Linked DNA regions of Cricetulus griseus. The protein of the gene in region 2 purifies or fractionates together with the protein of the main gene of each other region. This does not show direct contact. Links are inferred from orthologs where the notes say so. Each region holds a gene or a part of one and is shown on either strand. Other genes may lie near its edges. The genes, in order: Kctd10, Usp25 and Klhl9.

The links.
Region 1: the proteins of Usp25 (region 2) and Kctd10 purify together in Homo sapiens (affinity purification with mass spectrometry; 4 studies listed by BioGRID and IntAct, counting the BioPlex papers as one, with this or other methods). This does not show direct contact. The link is inferred for Cricetulus griseus from reciprocal best matches to the Homo sapiens genes USP25 and KCTD10.
Region 3: the proteins of Usp25 (region 2) and Klhl9 purify together in Homo sapiens (affinity purification with mass spectrometry; 3 studies listed by BioGRID and IntAct, with this or other methods). This does not show direct contact. The link is inferred for Cricetulus griseus from reciprocal best matches to the Homo sapiens genes USP25 and KLHL9.

The regions. Positions count from the first base shown.
Region 1 is NC_048597.1:93,992,997-93,996,647, reverse strand, and holds part of Kctd10 (BTB/POZ domain-containing adapter for CUL3-mediated RhoA degradation protein 3), read left to right. Parts: intron 1-2,040; coding exon 2,041-2,130; intron 2,131-2,398; coding exon 2,399-2,451; intron 2,452-3,638; coding exon 3,639-3,651. UniProt on the Homo sapiens protein: Substrate-specific adapter of a BCR (BTB-CUL3-RBX1) E3 ubiquitin-protein ligase complex. The BCR(BACURD3) E3 ubiquitin ligase complex mediates the ubiquitination of target proteins, leading to their degradation by the proteasome.
Region 2 is NC_048597.1:18,205,691-18,209,341, reverse strand, and holds part of Usp25 (ubiquitin carboxyl-terminal hydrolase 25), read left to right. Parts: intron 1-1,883; coding exon 1,884-2,011; intron 2,012-2,275; coding exon 2,276-2,371; intron 2,372-3,601; coding exon 3,602-3,651. UniProt on the Homo sapiens protein: Deubiquitinating enzyme that hydrolyzes ubiquitin moieties conjugated to substrates and thus, functions in various biological processes including inflammation and immune response.
Region 3 is NC_048595.1:59,402,593-59,406,343, reverse strand, and holds the start of Klhl9 (kelch-like protein 9), read left to right. Parts: upstream 1-1,191; 5' UTR 1,192-1,714; coding exon 1,715-3,571; 3' UTR 3,572-3,751.

The DNA.
Region 1 (3,651 bases), about 76 Mb from region 2:
TTCTGTGTGTCCCACATGCGGGATGCCGGATCTATCTGCCACCTTCCTTTCCCCACTGCAAATGGGCCCTACCTCATTGAGACATTGGGAGACGTTTGCAGAGTAACCCTGGGATCTACTTGCTGTAACAGAGCTCTGCTTCCAAAGGTTTTGAACACAACTGTCAGGGAACCATTCCCCCATCATTAGAATGTGGTCATTTGTACATCCCACCTGGGATGCTGTTGTCTAGGTGATACTTGACGGTACTTGAGAAACATTTTGTGCTCAGATCTTTACCTTAGCAGTTGTGTCATCTGTAGATTGCAATCCTTCAAGCTCCACCCTGAGACTGCCTCCCTATGTTTGTTGGAAGTCCAGAGAAACCTCCAGACACACTCCCTTTACTCTTTGTGTATCCTGAAGCAGGACCAGTAAGGGCCAAATCCACAGAGCACATGTAGTCAGTAGCTTTTCCTTTGTGCTGCGATAGCTTGTGATTAAGCCTTCCCTGAGCCTTGGAGCTGTGTCTAGCCCTCACTGGGACAGTATTCATTGTCTTGCCACACACATCTCTTGCCTGTGAGCCCTTGTAAATGTTATCCATTCACTGGAGTCATTCTTACATTTATTGACATTGTGCAGGCACATCATGCAGGAAGTACAGCGACACTGCATGGTTGATGGCTTGTGCCACCATTGCCTTCCCACCTCCCATGCCCCTTTCCCCAGGCAGGCTCTCTGCTGCTGTCTATTCTTAGCTTTAGACAGGACCTACTGGACTTAGAAAATTAGACTTCTCGTATATTCCCTCCCCTCCACCAAGCTTGCATGTTCCTTCTCGCAGAAGAGTTTAATCACAGCTTTGGGTTAGACAGTGTCCTAGTTCACCCTGTCATTGTCAATCTTGCTGTGCCCTGTGGCATTTTGTTTGCTTGATTTCTAATTGCATTTCTGTCCCTACTTGATCCCCAGGTTCACAGATAGGAGGGCCAGTCTCATGCTGGACTGTCCAGATGTCTCCAAGATCCTCTGTCACCTTTGTGTCGGGACATGTCCTCTGGCTTCTGTCTACAGATCTGAGGTTCATCCTCCAGGACATGGCTCCTTGTCACTTCCCTACCATGTCTGGAAGCTGTTTTCATGTTGTGTTGCCCTTGTTTCAGAAGGTTCCCCTCCCCCATCTATTTGTCATTCAATCTGCTCTGTCTGCTCCTTCAGTGGCTCTCTCCCTTGAATTTTCACTGTTTCTGTTGGTTCCAGTGTCATGTTTGAGAGGCTTCCCATACATAATTGGATGACCCTTGGTTTCTGTTGAGGCCCAAGGAAAAGCCACATATGTGGGGCTGTCAGTCCTAGTCTTCTGGAGCCTTCGTGGTTGGATAATAGACTGACTGACTTCACTGATAGCCTCTTGTTCAGAAGATGATGCCCTGTGAGGAGCTCTCTACTGCCAGCTGTGGCATTGCCTGAAATCCAGGCTTTCAGAAGGCTTGGGGGAGTTGCACATTGTTAGAGCAGTAACGCATCTCTGCCCTCTGTCACCACTGCAGGAATGTGGACCTTTCTTTGGCTGACTGAGCTGGCTCTGCCCTCACCCCAGCCCCCAGTCTGCAGTGGTCCCCGAGGACTTTCAGGCTTTCTTCTTCCCTCACATGAGCTCCCTCTGGCTCCCTCCTTGCCTTTCAGCTGGAGTCTGCTTGCCAGCTCAACCCATGACGCAGTTTGTCTTCTGACTCCACTTTGCCTGTTCTCTTCATTCTGCTGCTGTCATTAGAGTGGATTGTAGGGGCTTTTGATGTCACCGCCTGACATACTGAGGGCTTCCTGGGCAGAGAGAGCTGTGTCATTCTTGTATTTAGTGGGCAGTCAGGCATATCACAGCCCTAAACAGCAGACTCCTCCCCTAGCCTTACCCTTCCTAATTATCAGGTGCAAAGTGTCCTCTCCTCCCGCCATGACTGTCCTGTGTCTCCTCATCAGGGCCTGGCTTTCTGGCTGGTCAGCTTAAACAGCTGTGTGCTAGGCAGACCCCCGGGCTGAAAGCATGTCTTGTTCCAGCAGAACAAAGATACTTATGAACCCTTCTGCAAGGTTCCTGTCATCACCTCCTCCAAGGAAGAACAGAGACTTATAGCGACTTCAAATAAGGTGTGTAGAGGCTTGGGAGTGGGATGTGTGTGTGGGGGGGGGGAGATGTTGTCCAGGCTCAGAGGCAGGGGTGGCAGCAGTGCCTGTGTTTTGAGATAAAGTTCCCGTTCTAAGTGTTAAGCCCCATCTCCTATGTTACCCCTGTCCCCGGAACCCGCAGCAACCCTCCTCCTGTAAGCTCTGCAAGCCTGTGCCCACAGCCACTGGGAAGCCAGTGTGTACTGACCCACATGTCTAGTGACTGTCCTCTCCTTTTACCCACCCACAGCCGGCTGTGAAGCTGCTCTATAACAGAAGTAACAACAAATACTCCTACACCAGGTAAGCACCAGCCAGCAGTTATGCCAGGCTCTGCCTGTGTCTATTTCACACCAGAAGGGTCCTCTGGGTCCTTAGCTGGGTGGATAGATGGGTAGGTGAAACTTTGGGTGGAATTCCCCATGCCACACAATTCACCTTTTGTGTTGTACAGTTGAGTGGTTTTGACATACCCACAATGTGCAGTCACCAACACTTGCTAGTATTGAAAGATTTTTTTCACCCTGCTAGCAGTCCTTCTCAGCTTCCCTGGCCAGAGCAGTTGTTAGCCTACATTTCTGTGTCTGTAAATTTGCCTGTTTCAAACATGTCATGATTTTGCGGCTGATCTCTTCACTTAAGGTAATGTTTTCAGGGTCCATGCACTGTAGCACCATCCGTATGTCATTCTCCTTTATGGCAAACTGTCACACTTCACTCATCAGCATGGCCAGGCGTGGGGTCGTTGGCAGCTTCTGACGATTATGAACAATACTGCTGAAAGTTTAAGTTTAATGTTTTATGGACTGAGGTGTTCCTTTCTTTTAAACATGAGGAGTGAGCTGCTGGTCATCTGTGACTTGTTTAGTTACTGGGGACTGTACTGTTTGAACAGTGCCACCAGCAAGTGGCAGGTGTTTCTAGAGTCCCCTTGGCTCTCAGGAACACACCCTGTAAATGAGCGACTTGAGAGATGTAGGGATTTAATGAGCTGAGCGGTGATGGCACACACCTTTAATCCCAACACTCAGGAGGCAGGGGCAGGAGGATCTCTGAGTTCCAGGCCAGCCTGGTCTACGGAGTGAGTTCCAGGACAGTCAGGGCTACCCTGTCTGAAAGAAACAAAAACAAAACAAAGGTCTTCCTTGGGCTCTGCTGTTATGTACCTCATGGGGCTTGGCAGAGAAGGGTAGGGCAGGCTCAGTAGCCTGTGCCCAGAGGTCCTGCATTCAGTAATCTACTGCAACCATGGGTTATGAGCACAGCCTTCAGGCCACAACTGTCTTTGGAGACCTAGCTCTGCCATTTGTACACTTTGGGACTTGGTGAACTGATGTCTTTGGGCGTCCTTTTCCTTCTCGGGCAGTAAATAATTACAGTGTCTTAGTGTTGCAAAGGCTCACTAAGTAGAAATAGAGAAGGAGAAGGAACCAGGGAGGCCTGGGCAGACATCTGCAGCCTGTGTTCACCTCACTGAACACTCTTTGCAGCAATTCTGACGAC
Region 2 (3,651 bases):
TGGTATTAATAAGAATTTGGGTCTTGTTTGTTTAGAAATAAAATATTGTGCTACATAAATTTCTATTTATATGTTACTATGCTTGAAACATTAATAGTTCAGGGCTAGGTATGTAATTAATGATTCCTTAAAGTGAATTTAGGAAATGCCTGGTTTTTATCTTGAGCTCATGAACTGTAGACAAAGATAATGAAGTTTTTTCACTTTATAGTAGGAAAAAACCTGTGTTGCTATTGGAGAAAATGCGTTCCCAATACAGACATGCTACATAATATTCTCTGAGCATCCTCTCATGTACTACAGAAATGTGTAGAAGACTGCTTTCCACAGTTTTGGTCACTTCACTTCTCCCAGCCACTGTGGGTTCTCATCAGTTAAAATGTGTAGTAAGTTAGTTGGAAAGATATTTAAAGGACTGAGGTAAATTTTGAAGTAACAATTCTAAAAGTATGCTGGCCTGTTTGAATATCACAAATGAAGTTTGGAATATTATCCTATGGAATCAGGAATTTGTCTATAAGAGATCAGAGACAATGTTTTAATTTTTATCTAACCTTAGAAATGAGAAAGAACTAAATGGAATGGGCTGGACAGATGGCTCAAAAGTTACGAGCTTGTGCCACTTATCCAGAGGTCCTGAGTTCAGTTCCAAGCTCGGAGCACACTACCTCCCATAACTCAATCTCCAGGGACTTTTCTCTTTTAAACCTAGCATAGCATACTTATTATACTAGGTCTTTGGTGATTCTTATAAAACATGTTCCTTATATCTGACCTGGGCAAAACCTTACTCATATTCAGTTCAGGTAAGTGTAGCAGAGCCAGTGATCAGTAGTGCTTGGGGAGGGAGAAATAGCAACAAATAAGTATATGACTTCTAGTAGCTTTACTTGGAGAAAAGTAGCAGCTCTAGATTCAAGTTCACTTCTTTTTGCTAAGCCTGAGATGTTTATTCCTGTGTTTGGGTTCAGGTCTAAGCTCATCCACACTTACTGAGGGGGTGTGGTGGCATTCTCCTGACACTGGGAGCATTGACACACTGTGAAGTAGGTGCTGCATTTCCTTCAACAGAATCTTGTTGTAGGGCTTATAAAAATAAACACTTAAAAAGCATTTGTTCTATTTTTTTTTACATCTCTATATTGGTTTGTGAATATAAACATTCATCTTTTTAAACAAATGGTAGGCTTTTGTAAATCTTGAAGTTTTCACGAAAAGAAGTTTTTTGAAGTTTTGTTGACTCATGTGCGCATGTGTGGATGACAACTGGGTCATAACAGCAAGAAATTTAACACTGTAAACACTAGTTTGTATTTGAATACTCTGAATATGTTTCTTATAAGCATAATTTTATTCACTGATGACAAATCTATTTCCTGAATTAGTATAATGTGTAGTTGTAAAATTCAAGGTAAAAATAAGAAGACAAAAGAATAATATAGGAAGATAATGTTTTCCCGAGAACAGTGAGTATTTGTACCAGACAAGTATTTTCTTCCCTTTCAGTCAAGTCATGGGATTTGACAAGCTGGTTGAGTTCAGTATCACTCAACATAAGACTGAAGAAGGCAGAGCTCTTGAGTCTTAATGGCAACAGGTGTCTCCTTTTCTTCTGGCTGGAATTTCTAATGTGAACAATTGTGGAAGAAGAGCCTTGTGGAGATAAGGCTTCCCTCTGTCCTCTTATTGTCAGACCCACTGTTGGGATTTGCAAATGCTGTGGAATTTTTCAAAAGGAAGTTTAGCTGTTAGGAAACCATTGTATTCCCTCCTCAGTGGTGTCAGATGGTGACATCAGCACCATCATTGCACCCTATCCATAAAAGTGCCATGGGGCAAAACAGAGAGGGAGATTCTGAGTGTCTGTTGTTGTTGTCTTTCAGCATTGGTTTACTGAGCTGCCACCTGTATTAACATTTGAACTGTCAAGATTTGAATTTAACCAGGCATTGGGAAGACCAGAAAAAATTCACAACAAATTAGAATTCCCCCAAGTTTTGTATCTGGACAGGTATGGTTTATTTAGAATGGTATAATTTTGCAACAGTTCAGTGAGTCTCAGCTTAACTGATATACGTTATCTCACTAATTGTCAAGGGAATGTTAATTTTCTTTTATATAACTGTATTTTGGAATGTTAAAATAGTTCTTGTTTTACATGTGATACCTTATAAAATTTCAGTTGATCTTTTGTTGTGATAATTAGGCTGCACACCATATCTATTTCCAAGATACTTGGGAATACTAATGATTGCTCGTTTTTTCCTTGATATAGGTATATGCACAGAAACAGAGAAATAACAAGAATTAAACGTGAAGAGATCAAAAGACTTAAAGATTACCTCACAGTATTACAACAAAGATTAGAAAGGTATTTTAACTGCTATGACATTGTGATGGGAAAGCATGTGTTTTGTGACTAGATTTTTAATGTTAAATATGCTTTGGGGAGCTTATAATAGTAGTCATAGATAATCATTCTGGATTTAAATTTTGATCAATAATTTCAGAAACTAGGTTGCACCTTTAATAGGCTTTAGATGATTATTTTAGAAATTGAAATTAAATATGTGATTATCAACAGCTTGTTACCCTGATGCTGTACATGGAGCTAAAGGACTCCAACACAGAGCATGAGATTTACTTTGTGCTGAAGGGAATGGCAAATAAGATAACACTAGTGTCCCTGGCCTCCCAAGATTCATGCAGCAGTGTCACTCGGGAATAAGATGGGCAGGGAGGGAAGATTATAGGAGTGTGACTGGAGCCAGTGCTATCAAGTACCCAAGGGAGGGCTGTATGTGCAGATGTTTTTACATCCACAGTACTGCTTGATTCCTTAGGAAACAGCATAAAATGTAGAATGTGGGTGTCATGCAGCCAGGTAAGTCTACAGGCTGAAATGCGGTTTGAGTAATTCAGGTTGCTTACCTCCAACTTTACCCTCTGCTTTGATTTTAGTCTTCATATTCATAACATAAAATGTTGAGTTTGGCTGGGCGTTGGTGGTGCACACCTTTAATCCCAGCACTCGGGAGGCAGAGGCAGGCAGATCTCTGTGAGTTCGAGGCCAGCCTGGTCTCCAGAGTGAGTGCCAGAATAGGCTCCAAAGCTACACAGAGAAACCCTGTCTCGAAAAAACAAAAACAAAACAAAACAAAACAAAACAAAAGTTGAGTTCAAATTATCATATTTCCAGTGACTTTTATTCATAAAAGATTCCCATACATGTATGAAAAGTGCTCACAAGGTAAATGATGTTAAAGTCACTACCTTGAAGGCAAGGCTAGAGTAGAGAAGGGAGCGTTTGCAGACGATTCATCACTGTGTCTTCCTGCTGATCCACAGTTTAGAAGAGCATCTTCTCACTGATCTGCAGTTTAGAACAGCACCTTAGGTATATCCGTACTCACGGCTTTCCATCTTGATCAGCTTTGCTGTCCTTCCCTTCAAGATCATTTAGTGCATTTCCTTAATGTGTATTCTGTTTCATCTTCTCCCTTAGAAAGTAAGCGAGTTTCATTTCTGCCTTATTTTATAAGACTTAGAAAACCAAATACGCTGACAATATATATAAAACTTTGGTATATTTTATTAACAGATATTTAAGCTATGGTTCGGGTCCCAAAAGATTCCCCCTGGTAGATGTTC
Region 3 (3,751 bases), on a different chromosome or scaffold from region 2:
CCAAATAGCCTCCCAGAATGTTCCTGGACTGGCAAGAATTTCTCAAGATCAGTCTCATTTAAACAGGGCTCTTGTATCAAATAGGTTGGATTGCTGCTAGAGCACCTTGGAAAAACAATGCTGGTCTACTAGCCTCTACAACATGTTTTAAGTAAGCTCTCTATATACCGATTTTGGAAAATCTTGAACAACAACAAAAAAAGAGAAAGATATAACAGGATATATGCTATTTAGTAAAAAAAGAAAAAAACCAAAACAGGAAGTAGAAGAACATAAGCATATTTTTAGTTTGCATACAAGAAAATGCTAGAAAGATTTAAAGACAGCGATAACGTCAAATTCAGAGAATAGAGAGTTATGGCAAATTATACACTTATTGCAAATCACAATTAAAATTTGCAATTAGAGAACTGTGTTTTAATAAATAAAAAAAGTCATAAAAGGGAAATCCAAGAGAAGGGAAATGCAAACCCAAGCAGTGCTGGTAACATTATTTTGGAAACATTGAGTTGAATATTCTAATAAATATTATCATTATTCAATAGAGAATAAGGTTTTGTGTGCAAATTCTCTAAGCTTATTAATTTTCCATAAGACAATGAAGGACAAGGTTTATACACTCAGGAGAAAAACAGTGGGCAAAGTAAACTATAACATGCTTAATTATTGGGAAATTGTGCAACCATTTAAAAAGTATTTAGGAAACAAAACCATGAATAAAGTCTTTATGATGGCTTTCCCTCTCCCTCCAAGTCTTCAAGAGGTATCATTAGGACCAAACTTTAGTAACAAGTTAAATGCCACGTGTTTTAAATGCTTAAAAACACTTACAACTCCTATTTTAAGTGAGGCATTTATTGAGTGTGATGTAAATTGTAAAACTTTTTTTTTTAATTAAATGATACAATGACTTATTCTGCCAGGTTTCTCCTCAGTTTTTAACAAAGGCTGCGTTTCGTGGCTGTTCTGGCACAAGCGAAGAAGCGTAAATCTTAGAAAGAATGCGCTCTTGGAAAGTGGTAAGAAAACCTCACGCAGCAAGCATGCATGCACGCCTGCGCACTCCTGCAAGCTTGCAAGAAGGGGGCCCCCTCCAGGGCCTCGCTGGGGGAGCGCAACCCCGCCCCCAGCCCGCCCGCGCCCTTCCCCCATCCGCCCGCCCCCTTGCCAGGCCAGCCGCGCAGGCGCAGTAGCTGTGCAGCCGCTCCTAACCCGGGGGATCCTGGGATTCGGCCTTTCCGGAAGGACGAGCTAGGTGTTCGGTCTAGGCCGCCGTTCCAGCCCTAAACCAGAGTTCCAGGTCCTGCTCCCAGCCGAGCCGGTGGCCGAGGAGACGCTACGCGGACCTCCGAGGGCGTAGCGGCGACTGGCGGAGGTGCGGAGCCCGGCGGGCGGTGGCGGCGGTGCGCAGGCCGTGACGGCCCCTCCCCCGCCCCGAGAGCAGCTGCAGAGGACGACAGCGCGGGCCCGCCGCGGTGAAGCGGTCGCTGAACTGCCTCAGGTTATGACTCACCGGCTTTACTGTCACATTTGAGGTCCGCCGGCCGCGTTGCGTGATCCTGCCGCAGGGCGGGCGTGGGTGTGCGCGGAGCGGAGCGGAGCGGGGCTGCGGCGACTGATCGCCCTTGGTTCGTTCTGCGGCCCTGAGTTTGCTCAGAGCGTTCTCTTTGTAACGTCTGCGGCCTGTGGCTCGCTGCGAACGCAGGGCTCTCACATGAAGGTGTCTCTCGGTACCGGCGGCGAGATGGGCGTCTCTGCCCACCTGCAGCCCTGCAAGGCAGGAACGACGCGGTTTTTTACCAGCAATACCCACAGCTCGGTGGTGTTGCAAGGCTTTGATCAGCTCAGACTCGAGGGCCTGCTTTGTGACGTGACTCTGGTACCTGGTGATGGCGATGAGATCTTCCCGGTTCATAGAGCCATGATGGCGTCTGCTAGCGATTATTTCAAGGCCATGTTCACAGGCGGAATGAAAGAACAAGATTTAATGTGCATTAAACTTCATGGGGTGAACAAAGTTGGCCTGAAGAAAATCATTGATTTTATTTATACCGCAAAATTGTCCCTTAACATGGACAATCTTCAGGACACCCTTGAAGCTGCCAGCTTTCTACAAATCTTACCAGTTTTGGACTTTTGTAAAGTATTTCTTATATCAGGCGTCTCTTTAGATAACTGTGTTGAGGTCGGACGGATTGCTAACACCTACAATCTTATAGAAGTGGATAAATATGTAAATAATTTCATCCTGAAGAACTTTCCTGCATTGCTGAGTACTGGGGAGTTCCTAAAACTCCCCTTTGAACGGCTTGCCTTTGTGCTTTCCAGCAATAGTCTCAAGCACTGTTCCGAACTTGAACTTTTCAAGGCAGCCTGCCGCTGGTTGAGGCTGGAAGACCCTCGGATGGACTATGCTGCAAAATTAATGAAGAATATTCGATTTCCACTGATGACACCACAGGACCTCATCAACTATGTGCAGACAGTAGATTTCATGAGAACAGACAATACCTGTGTGAATTTACTTTTGGAAGCAAGCAATTACCAAATGATGCCATATATGCAGCCAGTGATGCAGTCAGACAGAACTGCCATTCGCTCTGATTCCACTCACCTTGTTACCTTAGGAGGCGTTCTGAGGCAGCAGCTAGTGGTCAGTAAAGAATTGAGGATGTACGATGAAAGGGCACAGGAGTGGAAGTCCTTAGCCCCCATGGATGCTCCTCGATACCAGCATGGCATTGCTGTTATTGGAAATTTCCTTTATGTAGTTGGTGGTCAGAGTAATTATGATACAAAAGGAAAAACTGCTGTTGATACAGTTTTCAGATTTGACCCTCGGTATAATAAATGGATGCAGGTGGCATCATTAAATGAAAAGCGCACATTCTTTCACCTGAGTGCCCTTAAAGGACATTTGTATGCAGTTGGTGGGCGCAGTGCAGCTGGTGAACTGGCCACAGTAGAATGTTACAACCCAAGAATGAACGAATGGAGCTATGTTGCGAAAATGAGTGAACCCCACTATGGTCATGCCGGAACAGTGTATGGGGGTCTAATGTATATTTCAGGAGGAATTACTCATGACACTTTCCAAAATGAGCTCATGTGTTTTGACCCAGATACAGACAAATGGACACAGAAGGCTCCTATGACTACAGTCCGAGGCCTGCACTGCATGTGTACAGTTGGAGACAAGCTGTATGTGATTGGTGGCAACCACTTCAGAGGAACAAGTGATTATGATGATGTTCTCAGCTGCGAATATTATTCACCAACTCTTGACCAGTGGACTCCAATTGCTGCTATGCTGAGAGGTCAGAGTGATGTTGGAGTTGCTGTTTTTGAAAACAAAATCTATGTTGTTGGTGGATATTCTTGGAATAACCGTTGCATGGTAGAAATTGTCCAGAAGTACGACCCGGAAAAAGATGAGTGGCATAAAGTTTTTGATCTTCCAGAGTCACTTGGCGGCATTCGGGCTTGTACTCTCACAGTTTTTCCGCCTGAAGAAAACCCTGGGTCACCTTCAAGAGAATCGCCTCTTTCAGCACCTTCAGATCATTCTTAGATACAAGGTGTAATACCTTTTCAGTGTATTCATGGATGATCTCCCTTCCCCTTCAATTGTCTCTTATTACTCTCTACAGTTAATAGACAAAAAGGTAACTTAGGGTTTTTTGTTTTGCTTAATATGTTATTAAATGGCTACCAAGTACATTCTGAAAAAAATGTGTTTTAACACATATTT